Arabidopsis thaliana: one gene and its partner. The protein of the gene in region 2 interacts with the protein of the main gene of each other region in a pairwise test. Each region holds a gene or a part of one and is shown on either strand. Other genes may lie near its edges.

What was found.
Region 1: the proteins of emb1967 (region 2) and CRF7 interact in a two-hybrid assay, tested with the Arabidopsis thaliana proteins (2 studies listed by BioGRID).

Annotation. Positions count from the first base shown.
Region 1 is NC_003070.9:8,134,385-8,137,975, reverse strand, and holds CRF7 (Integrase-type DNA-binding superfamily protein), read left to right. Parts: upstream 1-1,941; 5' UTR 1,942-2,150; coding exon 2,151-2,630; 3' UTR 2,631-2,796; downstream 2,797-3,591.
Region 2 is NC_003074.8:20,121,420-20,128,949, reverse strand, and holds emb1967 (Forkhead-associated (FHA) domain-containing protein), read left to right. Parts: upstream 1-1,968; 5' UTR 1,969-2,186; exon of another isoform or gene 2,187-2,326; 5' UTR 2,327-2,394; intron 2,395-2,420; exon of another isoform or gene 2,421-2,481; 5' UTR 2,482-2,570; intron 2,571-2,835; 5' UTR 2,836-2,918; coding exon 2,919-2,987; intron 2,988-3,994; coding exon 3,995-5,536; intron 5,537-5,621; coding exon 5,622-5,673; intron 5,674-5,903; coding exon 5,904-6,052; intron 6,053-6,155; coding exon 6,156-6,242; intron 6,243-6,364; coding exon 6,365-6,493; intron 6,494-6,571; coding exon 6,572-6,652; 3' UTR 6,653-6,933; downstream 6,934-7,530. Other genes in the region: AT3G54360 (zinc ion binding protein), read left to right, coding at 67-216, 318-380.

The DNA of each region.
Region 1 (3,591 bases), on a different chromosome or scaffold from region 2:
AAATATAAACAAAGCGACAACGAAACATAACAAGAACGAGAAAGTACGTTGGGGGATTGAATTCAGCTCCAAAATAAGTGTGGTTCTATGAAATTTTTCAGACCTATTATTGATAACATTTCTAAGATGGATATGGACGTTTATACATATAATATGGTAGTCCCCTAGATTTTATAATAAAATTTGAAAAACGTTATTTAAAGAAATGTATACGGTGGCCATTTTTCAATCCAGATTAGAGAAGTAATTGTGGTCGTAGAATATTAATTCATGCATGTCCTCATAGTCAATTTTACAAAAAATCAGAAAGTTTAGTCTTTCACTGATGTGACCTGTGGAACATCATGATATTTTATGAATGTTAAATTTACCATTTTTTTGTTTTGACAGCTTATAAAATCAGATAGTTTATACGTTAACCAAAAGTGCCGTGTCAAATAATACGACTTCCGGCCCATAGATTTCTTTTATCTGGCTACAAATGAAAAATGTTTAGTTATACATATTTTATAGAGTCTTATGTCATGTTCTTATATTTTGTGGTACTTACTTATACACCAGGAAAAACAATCAGTGGTCACGAGAATACTTTAAAGTAACAGAGAGTTGATTGTGCTTAAGAATAAACTTAATTGGAAAAATTTGGTTTAGGGGAAGATTAGGTTGATATTTTGGTAAACGTCCCTTTTACCTGTTCGGTTTTATCTTCTCTTCATATTTAGTGGTGCAACGCAACTTCTGGAGATGAATAATTTATAGTCCTGTAACTTGTGGAGGCGAATAATAAATAATTCAGTCATATCATATGCATATATGAATATATGAGAAAACGATATTAATATAATTAATATCGTTGTAACTTGTAAGTGCGTCATATATAGTTGAAATCATACGAAAGATATCGCAATTAAGGATCAATCGAAGAGTAATATTATATTATTTCACACTTTTTCAAACCTGGTCTTACACATAACACATCTTATAAAACATGATATCATGCGTTTTACGTTAATTGGTTGATAATTTGATTCACTGAGTGGGTTTTACGTTTTCTTGTTGATTAAGATTTAGGGTATAAGCAAGTTAACTAAGCAACTATAGGGTACCAAAACTATCTTTGTAAAATAAACATATACAACAAATGTTTTGATAGAGTTCATGAAATTGTACAATGCATAAAATAAAACATTGAGAAGTTCTAACTGAGTGGTCACATATGTTAGCGGTCCATACATAATTTAATTCGTCATCATTAGAGAAACAATATTGCAAATATACTAAATCTGAGTTTGAGAAAAAATATAGCTTGTAGACACACTTCAGTACCTAGTGATCAAATTATCATATGACATATGATACTTATGTGAGTGTGACTATGTAATTCCTAGTTGAAAAAATACATTGATGATTGAAAATTACAGTCTAGAAATTATACCAACTAAATTACCTTGGTACAACTTATATAAGTAAGTAGTCCCTATAATAAGCCTACACTCTCTACAAAATAAGTAAAGGAGAAGCCTTGAAGGAGAACAACATGTCAATTCAAAATAGTCATGGAATCACTAAAAGGCCTTAAAGAAGTTCTTAAGGCCCAAAATAAATAGGTTTTTCGGAATTTGAAGTCCAGTTTTCTGCGAACCAGACTAGTTCTGCTCACTTTGGGTTCTTTCAGGTGGGCTTGAAAACTAGACAACTGAGTCAGACCAAGATCTTTTTTTCTTTTCAAATCAATATTGTTGTTGTTGTTGTTGTAAATCAATCTTTGTGTAGAAAAAAAAGTGAAAAAAATGATCTTGTTATGAAATTCAAAATCCATACAGTATTTGTTTTTCCTTCATGATTTTACTTTTTTACCAATTAACTTAATAATATTTTTGTCCGAAAACAGATTTTTCGAAATATTTGTTGGTCATCAATTTTGAATTCAAAACCGACTTGATGAGATTGATCAATAGTTCAATACTCATAATTACACACGGATTCTAAAAGATAAGAGAAACAGTAAGTCGGTTAATTTTGGATTAAGTAACGCACAAGCCAAAGCCTTCTCCTGATCGAATCATAAACCAAACAAATCTTTCTTTTAAAAGAAGCGGACACAAACCCTAACCACCAACCCTCTCCGTCGTCAAATTTCCCGGCGAAAGATGAAACGAATTGTTCGAATTTCATTCACAGACATGGAAGCAACCGATTCTTCAAGCAGCGAAGACGAGTCACCACCGTCATCACGCCGTCGAGGTAAGAAGCTAGTCAAGGAAATCGTAATCGATCATTCTGATCCCCCGGAGGTCGGAAAAACTCGGTTCAAAATCAGGATTCCGGCGAGTTTACTTGCTGCGAGGAATACGACGGCGAATAAGAAGAAGTTCCGTGGCGTGAGGCAGAGACCATGGGGGAAGTGGGCGGCTGAGATTAGATGTGGTAGAGTTAAAGGAAGACCTGAACGAATTTGGCTTGGAACTTTTGAAACAGCTGAAGAAGCTGCTCTTGCTTATGATAACGCTGCGATTCAGTTGATTGGACCTGATGCGCCGACTAATTTTGGCCGTCCTGATGTTGATTCTGCGGTGGTGAAAAAGCAAGATTCTGATGCTAGTGGTGGTGCTTCTGAAGAAGTTGTTTGATTTTCTTGTTTATAACTAACTTTGCAAGGTTACTTTTGTTTATCATCATCTTTTGTAAATTTGATCATCTTGCTCTTTGCTTTTTAACTTCTCTTGTACATGTTTGAATTATAAAAGTTCTAATTTTTCAATCCAGATTCTTGGTTTTCATAATTGTACATTTTGATCAGCATAACTATTGCTTAAAATTTCCATATTGGTTTTACCTTAATTGATCAAAAGTCTTTCTTTTGGATCGAAATTGAGACAATTGTTCTACCAACTGTACTTGAAAAACTGCTATATTTCTCTTGCAATTTGGTTATCTCCTGATCTCTTTTACTTATGATGACTCTGTTAGATGCTGCTTTCATGAGCGTTTCTTTGTTAAACTAACTTGGTCGGTCTTGTTGTCACTTTCACCAACTGAAAAGAATTAATATGTTTTAAGTATGTTAAATTGCTGTCAAGCTAGCTAGGGATGTTGTACCGACCAGCGGAACCGGTGGAGCAGTAACTGATTTATTAAAAAAGGTTGTGAAAAAACTGATCTGGTTAACTTTTTGAGCCGGTCCTCCTCAGTAGGACCATCTTTGTCAAAACTTTGATCAGACCGAAAAGCTGTGTTCAACCACATTAGCCTAAAGCTTAGCTCACAAAGACCATCAGAACAGAACAGGCTGAATCATCATCACATATTTTTTTAACAAAACCATATAACAAACTATTAGAACTGAATTCTCATAAAGCTATCAAAAACCCTCCTTTTTTCACAAACCTGGGTTGAATTAGTAGTAGGTTTAGCCACCTTATCTCTGAAACTTTCTTGATAACCTTAATTATACATCTTACAATGTTTAACCTATGGTTTTGTTTAACCTCAATTATACAAAACCATTACCACTAATGGGCTAATAGTGAATCTGGCCCAAAATGTATTTGCCCTTTTCTTCTTTAGCCAAAAGCCTTCTCAATAAGTCTT
Region 2 (7,530 bases):
AGTAAGCAAAGGTCTGTCCGGAAGTAGAAATTGATTTCTTTTGTTATTTCTACATTTTTTATGTAGATTCTGGATGTGGCTGTTTCCTTAGCCAAAGTTGCGGATATAGACAGGACTCTACAAAATGAAGTTGCAGCGACAGATGGGTTCAAGGAAGGCATGAGACTGCTGGAATCTTTGAAACTGGACTCTGAAGATTCTGCTCTCGAGCAACGGGTAAGATTCTTGCACGACTCCCTTTTTATTTGTATCTTATCCAAAGCTGCTGAATGTCAGTAAAACTTTATCTGACAAATGTAATTTTAACATGCATGCAGCGGCTCTCTGTACTGGAGTTCCTTAAGAAGCAAGTAGAAACCGATGCTGAAACTGCACTCTAAACCGATGCAGGCTTAAGTACGTATATAGAAATTATACCTAAGTTCTCGTCTGTGGCATTTTGCTGAATAAAGAAAGCAAAAATGTTGTATTTGCGCTCAAGGGACAAAGAAACAGAGTTGTCTGTATGTTGTGAATTGTGATGGTTTTCAACTTTCAATGCACTAATCTTGCAATGTTAAATTGTTAAGCATGATTGTACTCTATGCACTTGTGAAATTTAAAAATTAAGATATCTTAAGCGGCTACAGCTGTGAACTGCTTTCTATTTCTTTTCAGTGCAAAATGAGAAAGAACCCAACAGAGATTGAGAGATGATGTGAAAGGAAAATGCAAGTATTTGCAAACTCAATCAGCTACAAAGAGTATAAATTGCGACAACAAAAATTTGTCTTTGTTGTTTTGTTGAATGAAGTTTTTCTTGTAACTACTCTTACAAAAATAAAAACATAAACATAGTCAATCCCTAAAGCCGATGATACTATGCAAACGACAAAGATATACTAACTCCAACGCACGAATCAACAAAATTAGGTCACTTTTACGAAAATAAATCTACATAATCAACAAAATTAGGTCAACTTCGTTCTATTTGTAAAGCTTTTTTCAGTATTTTTTTCTTTAATATGTTCACGTCTTTTAACTGTTCATATAATTACGTAACTAAATCTTTAACTTCGTATGTAAAACTATGTTTTTACGTATTAGATATAGAGAAATTGTTAAGAATGTTTTTCCAAAAATATGTTTTTTTAGTACTATCCTCCCATGTAATCATTTTTATTGATATTATCTTTTAATTATTAATGACTATTTTGCTTCTATTTGAAAATACTTAAATCAACAAAATGAAAAAATGATTTTTTCCGCCAAAAAATGTACTTCACATCAACTGCTATGAAACAATGTACTGATTTTATCAATTCACAAAAATTCTTGCCTCTAATCAATCGTGATTCAAGCAATCATGCAAAATCTTGAGTAACCAAGCCTAAAAAACCTAAAAACCTAATCAATTCTTAAAAGATACGGAAATTAAAGTCAAAGATTACTATCAACTCTCGCCTCTTATCCATCTTAATTAGTTCTTCAAAGATTTCACACGAGTAACCTAAAATCCATTGAAATTAAGTCAACTATATACCTCTCTTCGCGGTTTATAGTTGAAATCTGGAGGCATCGCCAAGTAGCCGCCAGCTTCGCCGATTTTACGTTGAAGATCAGCGTTTTCTTCCAATATGAAATTTCTGGCGTAAAGCGATAAGTGCACTTTTCCGGCATAGATTGAGTTGAACTGAACAAGAATAGTACGACGACAGATCAGATTTTTGAGGATAAAGAAACCATTGTCGAGAATTTGAGAAAAAGATGAAAGTCGAGAAATGATTATTGATTATCTGAGGATTTATAAAATATATAAAAAATATTTAAAGTTCAAATTTTATTAATCCTACTAATATTAGTTTAGAAGTACATTTAAAAAATATGAACTAATATCTATCATCTAAAAGAGTATAAATTACAACAACAAACGAAATGTGTTGAAAGAGGCTGTTTTTCCGGGAAATAAGCATTTGAAGTTTAGTTTCAGAAAAAGGAGTTAAAAGAAGAGCAAAGTAAAAAAATCACATATATCCAAAACGGTGTCGTTCCATTCTCAAACGTGCTTTATCTTCTTCTTTACACACTCTCGCCTCCGGACGACGGAGACAGTCAGATATAAATTAGGGTTTCAGATTTTTTAGATTTTATCTCTTCAATTCGAGCCAGTGAATTGCCGCCTCCTCCTCCTCCTCTTCTTCCCTCAAGTTAGTTACTTTCGTCTTGAGTTTTCTAAATTCTCTATCTATAAATTGTGATATCAACTTGTGAGAATTTCGAAAAAATTGTATGTGCGTCTTCTTTGGAGCTTGAGAATTTAACGAGAGTATTGATTTTTTACCTACAGTACATAACCAAAGCAATGAAATTCTACTTGTATCCTGTAATGGCTGACTAAATCAACTGCGAATCGTGGTTCGTCACTTTCTTAATTAACTATTTTTTTTTCGATCTTTGTCTAATTTCAATAATTTATCCAAATCCTGATACTTGTTGTTCCAGTTTTGTGACATGGTTACTGTTGCTAGGCTATTGAACCTCACTCTTGTTGTTCCCGAGATTGACAAAACATCCTTCTTTGCTGATTCAAGGTATTGTAACTCCTTTTCTTAAACATTTTCTGTTTCTCTTACGTTCTTAAACCCTATTGCAAAACGAAACCTAGAAGAATGCTTCAGATTACTAGAAGAGCTTAACGGTGAGAAAGAGAAACCCATTAATTCCATTTCAAGTAGTGCTAGACCAAGTAATAGCGTCGTCTTTGTTAGTGTTGTTCACCGTAGAGAAAACCAAATTTGAATCACTTCTGATGATATTGTTGCCTACATCTGTCTGATTTTGATTTCGTTTAATTAGGTTTTGTGTTCTGTCACCATCTCTTAGACCCCTTCTACGTTACGCTTTCCTGAGAGAAGTAAAGGTCTGGTTGTGCAGTGAACATGGGGGCTCTTGCTCAAGTTGTTCCGTGGATACCCGAAGACGACCTGCTGCTAAAGAATGCTGTCGAGGTGAGCTCCCATTTCATTGAGTTTGGTTACATTTCAGTTTTCATTATTTTACTACCGGAAATGGATTATGTTGGATTGAGCCATGGGTTTGATCTCAATATTTGTCTCAATTTCCTGTCCTTTCACGCGCTTTATGTAGTTCAATGATCATGTAGTTTTCTTATTCTACCATGCTTGTTTGCAGAGCTGTATCAATTTTGCTTAAATTGAAGTAGTTGTCTAGTTGGAACATTAATGACTATCAGTTCTGTCGCTCATGATGTTTCTAGGCTTTCTTCTTCATAGTTGCTTGTATCTATAGTTGATTTTGAGGGGATTGGAGAGTACGACATATCCTTTGAGGCAGGTTATTATCAGTAATTTTCTTTCCTAAAAGAGATGCCTATCTAGTTGATTCTATCATCTATTAATATTGTTTTGGTTGCATTTTTTTCCTTTTCATGTCTTGTGATAACTTGAATTTTCGGGACAAAAGGTTGGTTGCAGATATCAAAATTTAGTTGAATAACCATGTCAGCTTTTTGTTTGATCCTGTTAACATCTTAAGCCAGTGTTATATGCGGTATAGTATAGTATTATGGGAAACAAGTTACACAATCTTGATGTGGCAAGGTATAATTGTTGCTCTAGAACAAATTATACCATTTCGCGAGGAACATAATATATTGCTGTGTGATCACTGATGATCTGTATGTATCATGCTTCTCTCCACGGGGAAAAGACTGTCAAATATTTTTTCTTAAATTTGGTTTTCTGTTCAGTTATGAGAACATAATATGATTGAAAAAATATCCTTTTGTCTTTTTACAGATGGCTCATCAATCACCACAAGATAGATAATTATGTTCATTGCTTCTCTCATATAGCATTTTATATATCAAGCTAGGCTAGCCAAAAAGTTTCTCTACTAAATTAGTGCTTCTGTATGTATGTATTGCGTGTTTCTTCTTTCAGCTTGTCTGGTAATCTTGCAATTAAGTGAACCAGAATCCTTAATTTATTTGCAGGCTGGTGCTTCTTTGGAATCGCTTGCTAAAGGTGCTGTGCAGTTTTCTAGAAGATTTTCTATTAGAGAATTGCAAGATCGATGGCATGCACTGCTTTATGATCCAGTAGTTTCTGTAGAGGCGGCTTTTCGGATGGCTGAGCTTGAACGTACTAACCCTAATTTTCCTACTAAGTTTGGTAGAACTGGATATTCAAAAGAAAACAAAAGTTCATCTAGGAAGAGGAATGCTGAAAGGCTCAGAAGTACTTATCATTCCTTGCGGAAGAAATTTAGGACTGAGCCATTCAATTCCTTGGATCTAGGTTTCCTCGTTCCACCAAATGATAGCCATTTCATGGATAATGGTGATGCAACACATCTTGGTCTTGAGGACTCTCACATGGATATTATCCACAACGCGTTTCCAGAAATCTTGGCTGAAGGTGGTTGCGTGACAACTCATGTTCTGCCAGAAGATAATTTACAGGGAGACATTCCTTACGTAGAAGGAGAAAATCTCACATTCACTGAACACGCAGGTCTATCAGTATGTGATGTGGTTCATCAAGATTCCGAGCAGAAACTAGAGAATACTGCTCACGAGGCAAAAAACACAATGGCTAGCACTGATTTCCTGGCACAGCTTTCAACTTCTCTTTTCGAAGAAGACATGGAACCGTTCATGGAAGTAGATGGCAAAGAAGTTGACAAGTCATATTATGATGGTCTTAGCTCACTGTTGGTGAACTCTACAAATGATACAAACCGCGAGGCTTTTCCTAACCCCACCGAGCAAGAACCTTCCATTGCACCAACTCATCCAGGAGAGGCAACCCTGGATGATCATGTGATGCTTGAGCTAGATGGTACAATCGCTTTAGATCCTCATCCTGAGATTGTTGGGGGTGTAATCTGCTGTTTATTAAACGAAGAGGATCCTGATATTCCGTGTAATGATGACATTTTCCTGTCCAACAACTCCCGTCCGATGTCAGTTTCTTCTTTAGCCCGGCGGAACTTTAAGGATACCAATAGTCCAATAACTACATGTGTAAGAGACGTCTCCGCCAGTAAGGAAAAAAGTGAGGGATATTCACTCCAGGCTCAAAAGAAAAAACCAGGACGTTTACAGGGGTCTACTCAAGGAAAGCCAGAGATGGGCCAACCAAGTAAAGGTAGCAAATTCAGGGCATCGACTAGTACTGAGTTAAAGAATACTGTAGCTCCTGGTGGTTCTTCCTCTGCACAGGCTTGCTCTAATACTCTACTTTCTACTGGTACCGGTGCAAAAGATGGAAAGAAAGAAACTGCTACTGGAACACTCTTTGTCGGATCTGATGGCCATGGCAACCACCCAGAGAAGGATAGTGAAAATTGTAAAGAGAAAAATGTTGTACCACCTGTTAATGAATCGCCACATGCTAAAGATACTGATGATGGCTTGATAGAGATTACAGTCCCTGAGCTGGAGATCACCCGTGCAGAAGCAGAAGCAGAAGCAGAAGCGCATGTTTGTGAGAGTGATGAGGACTTACCCAATTATTCTGACATTGAGGCTATGGTAACTCTTGACTTCCATCTTTATTCTTGTGCTATGGTTCCATGACACGTAAACACCTAATCCATAACACTCTTTTTTATTTCAGATACTTGACATGGACTTGGAACCTGATGATCAAGATAATTTTGATCTCGAAGGTAGTTGAGCGTCCCTTCTCGTCCAGTGGAACTCATGTTTCTTTCTATCTATCTACATTTTTGGGAAAAGAAAGCTTTTAGTATGTGAATAGGAATGTATTTCGGCATTTGGCTCCTAAAAGTTATTACATGCTGCAGTGATGTGGGAAACCTTTTCTATGGGTAGCGTATGAGATGTTAGAAGAGGTTTAAGGCTTGTTTGTAAATCCCTAAAATGTTTTCACTTGCAGTCTCCAAGTATCAGAGCCAAGACATGAAAAGAACAATCATAAGACTTGAGCAGGCTGCTCATTCATATATGCAAAGAGCCATTGCTTCCCGTGGTGCATTCGCTGTTTTATATGGCAGATATTCAAAACACTATATCAAGAAGCCTGAGGTAATATTATCTTATTCGTTTAATATTCCTTGTATGATTTGATAAGCTTCTTAAGAATTATAGTAGCACTTGTTGATATCGGGGTTCTTTTTTCTTAACATAGGTTTTGGTGGGTAGATCAACAGAAGACCTCGCTGTGGACATTGATTTGGGAAGAGAAAAGCGGGGTAGCAAAATATCTCGACGACAGGTCGGTCAATAGTAGATACTTCTATTTGTATTTTAGGTCTTTAAGTTGTATGAGAAGCAGCAGCCCAGGATCTGTAATGGTTGTTGTGTATGTTTTTTTCCTTTTTGGGTTACTGAATGCAGGCGATCATACGGCTGGGTGATGACGGTTCGTTTCATATAAAAAACCTGGGGAAGTATTCAATCTCAGTAAATGAGAAGGAAGTAGATCCTGGACAGAGTTTAATCCTCAAATCCGATTGTCTAGTTGAGGTTTGATCCGGGATACTCTTTTATGATCATTACTTACGCTTCTAGGTCCGTACTTAAACCCGATATATGTGCGCGCAGATACGGGGAATGCCTTTTATATTTGAAACAAACCAAAGTTGCATGCAAGAGTACCTGAAGAGAAGAGGGAAAGTGAACTGAGACCAGATCAAGAGTGCGTGTTGTTTGTGTAGATGAATGATGCATCTCTTGTGTAATGTACCTTAGCCATAGGAACACGTCTTGTAGATCTTTTAATACATCTTTAGTTCCGCATCATGCATAGTTGACCCTGTTTTAAGGCGTTGAAATGAAAATACAAGTCTCTTGTATCTGAATTTGTGTTTTAAGCGAAGAATGATTGTTCTTGTGAAGTTGATACACAAGTTCTTTGGATATCCTATCAGTATAAAGGATAGGTTTCCATTTTCGTGACTCACTCACTGATTTCCATTGCTTGAAAATTGATGATGAACTAAGATCAATCCATGTTAGTTTCAAAACAACAGTAACTGTGGCCAACTTAGTTTTGAAACAACACTAACTGGTCGAAGCAAAAAGAAAAAAGAGTTTCATCATATATCTGATTTGATGGACTGTTTGGAGTTAGGACCAAACATTATCTACAAACAAAGACTTTTCTCCTAACTTGTGATTCCTTCTTAAACCCTAGGGGTAATATTCTATTTTCCAAGGATCTTTAGTTAAAGGCAAATCCGGGAAATTATTGTAATCATTTGGGGAAACATATAAAAGATTTGAGTTAGATGGAAGTGACGATTAATCCAAACATATATATCTCTTTCTTCTTATTTCCCAAATTAACAGACAAAAGTAGAATATTGGCTTTTAACACCAATATAAAAACTTGTTCACACCTAAACACTTTTGTTTACTTTAGGGTAAGTGTAAAAAGCCAACCAAATCCACCTGCACTGATTTGACGTTTACAAACGCCGTTAAGTTTGTCACCGTCTAAACAAAAACAAAGTAGAAGCTAACGGAGCTCCGTTAATAAATTGACGAAAAGCAAACCAAGT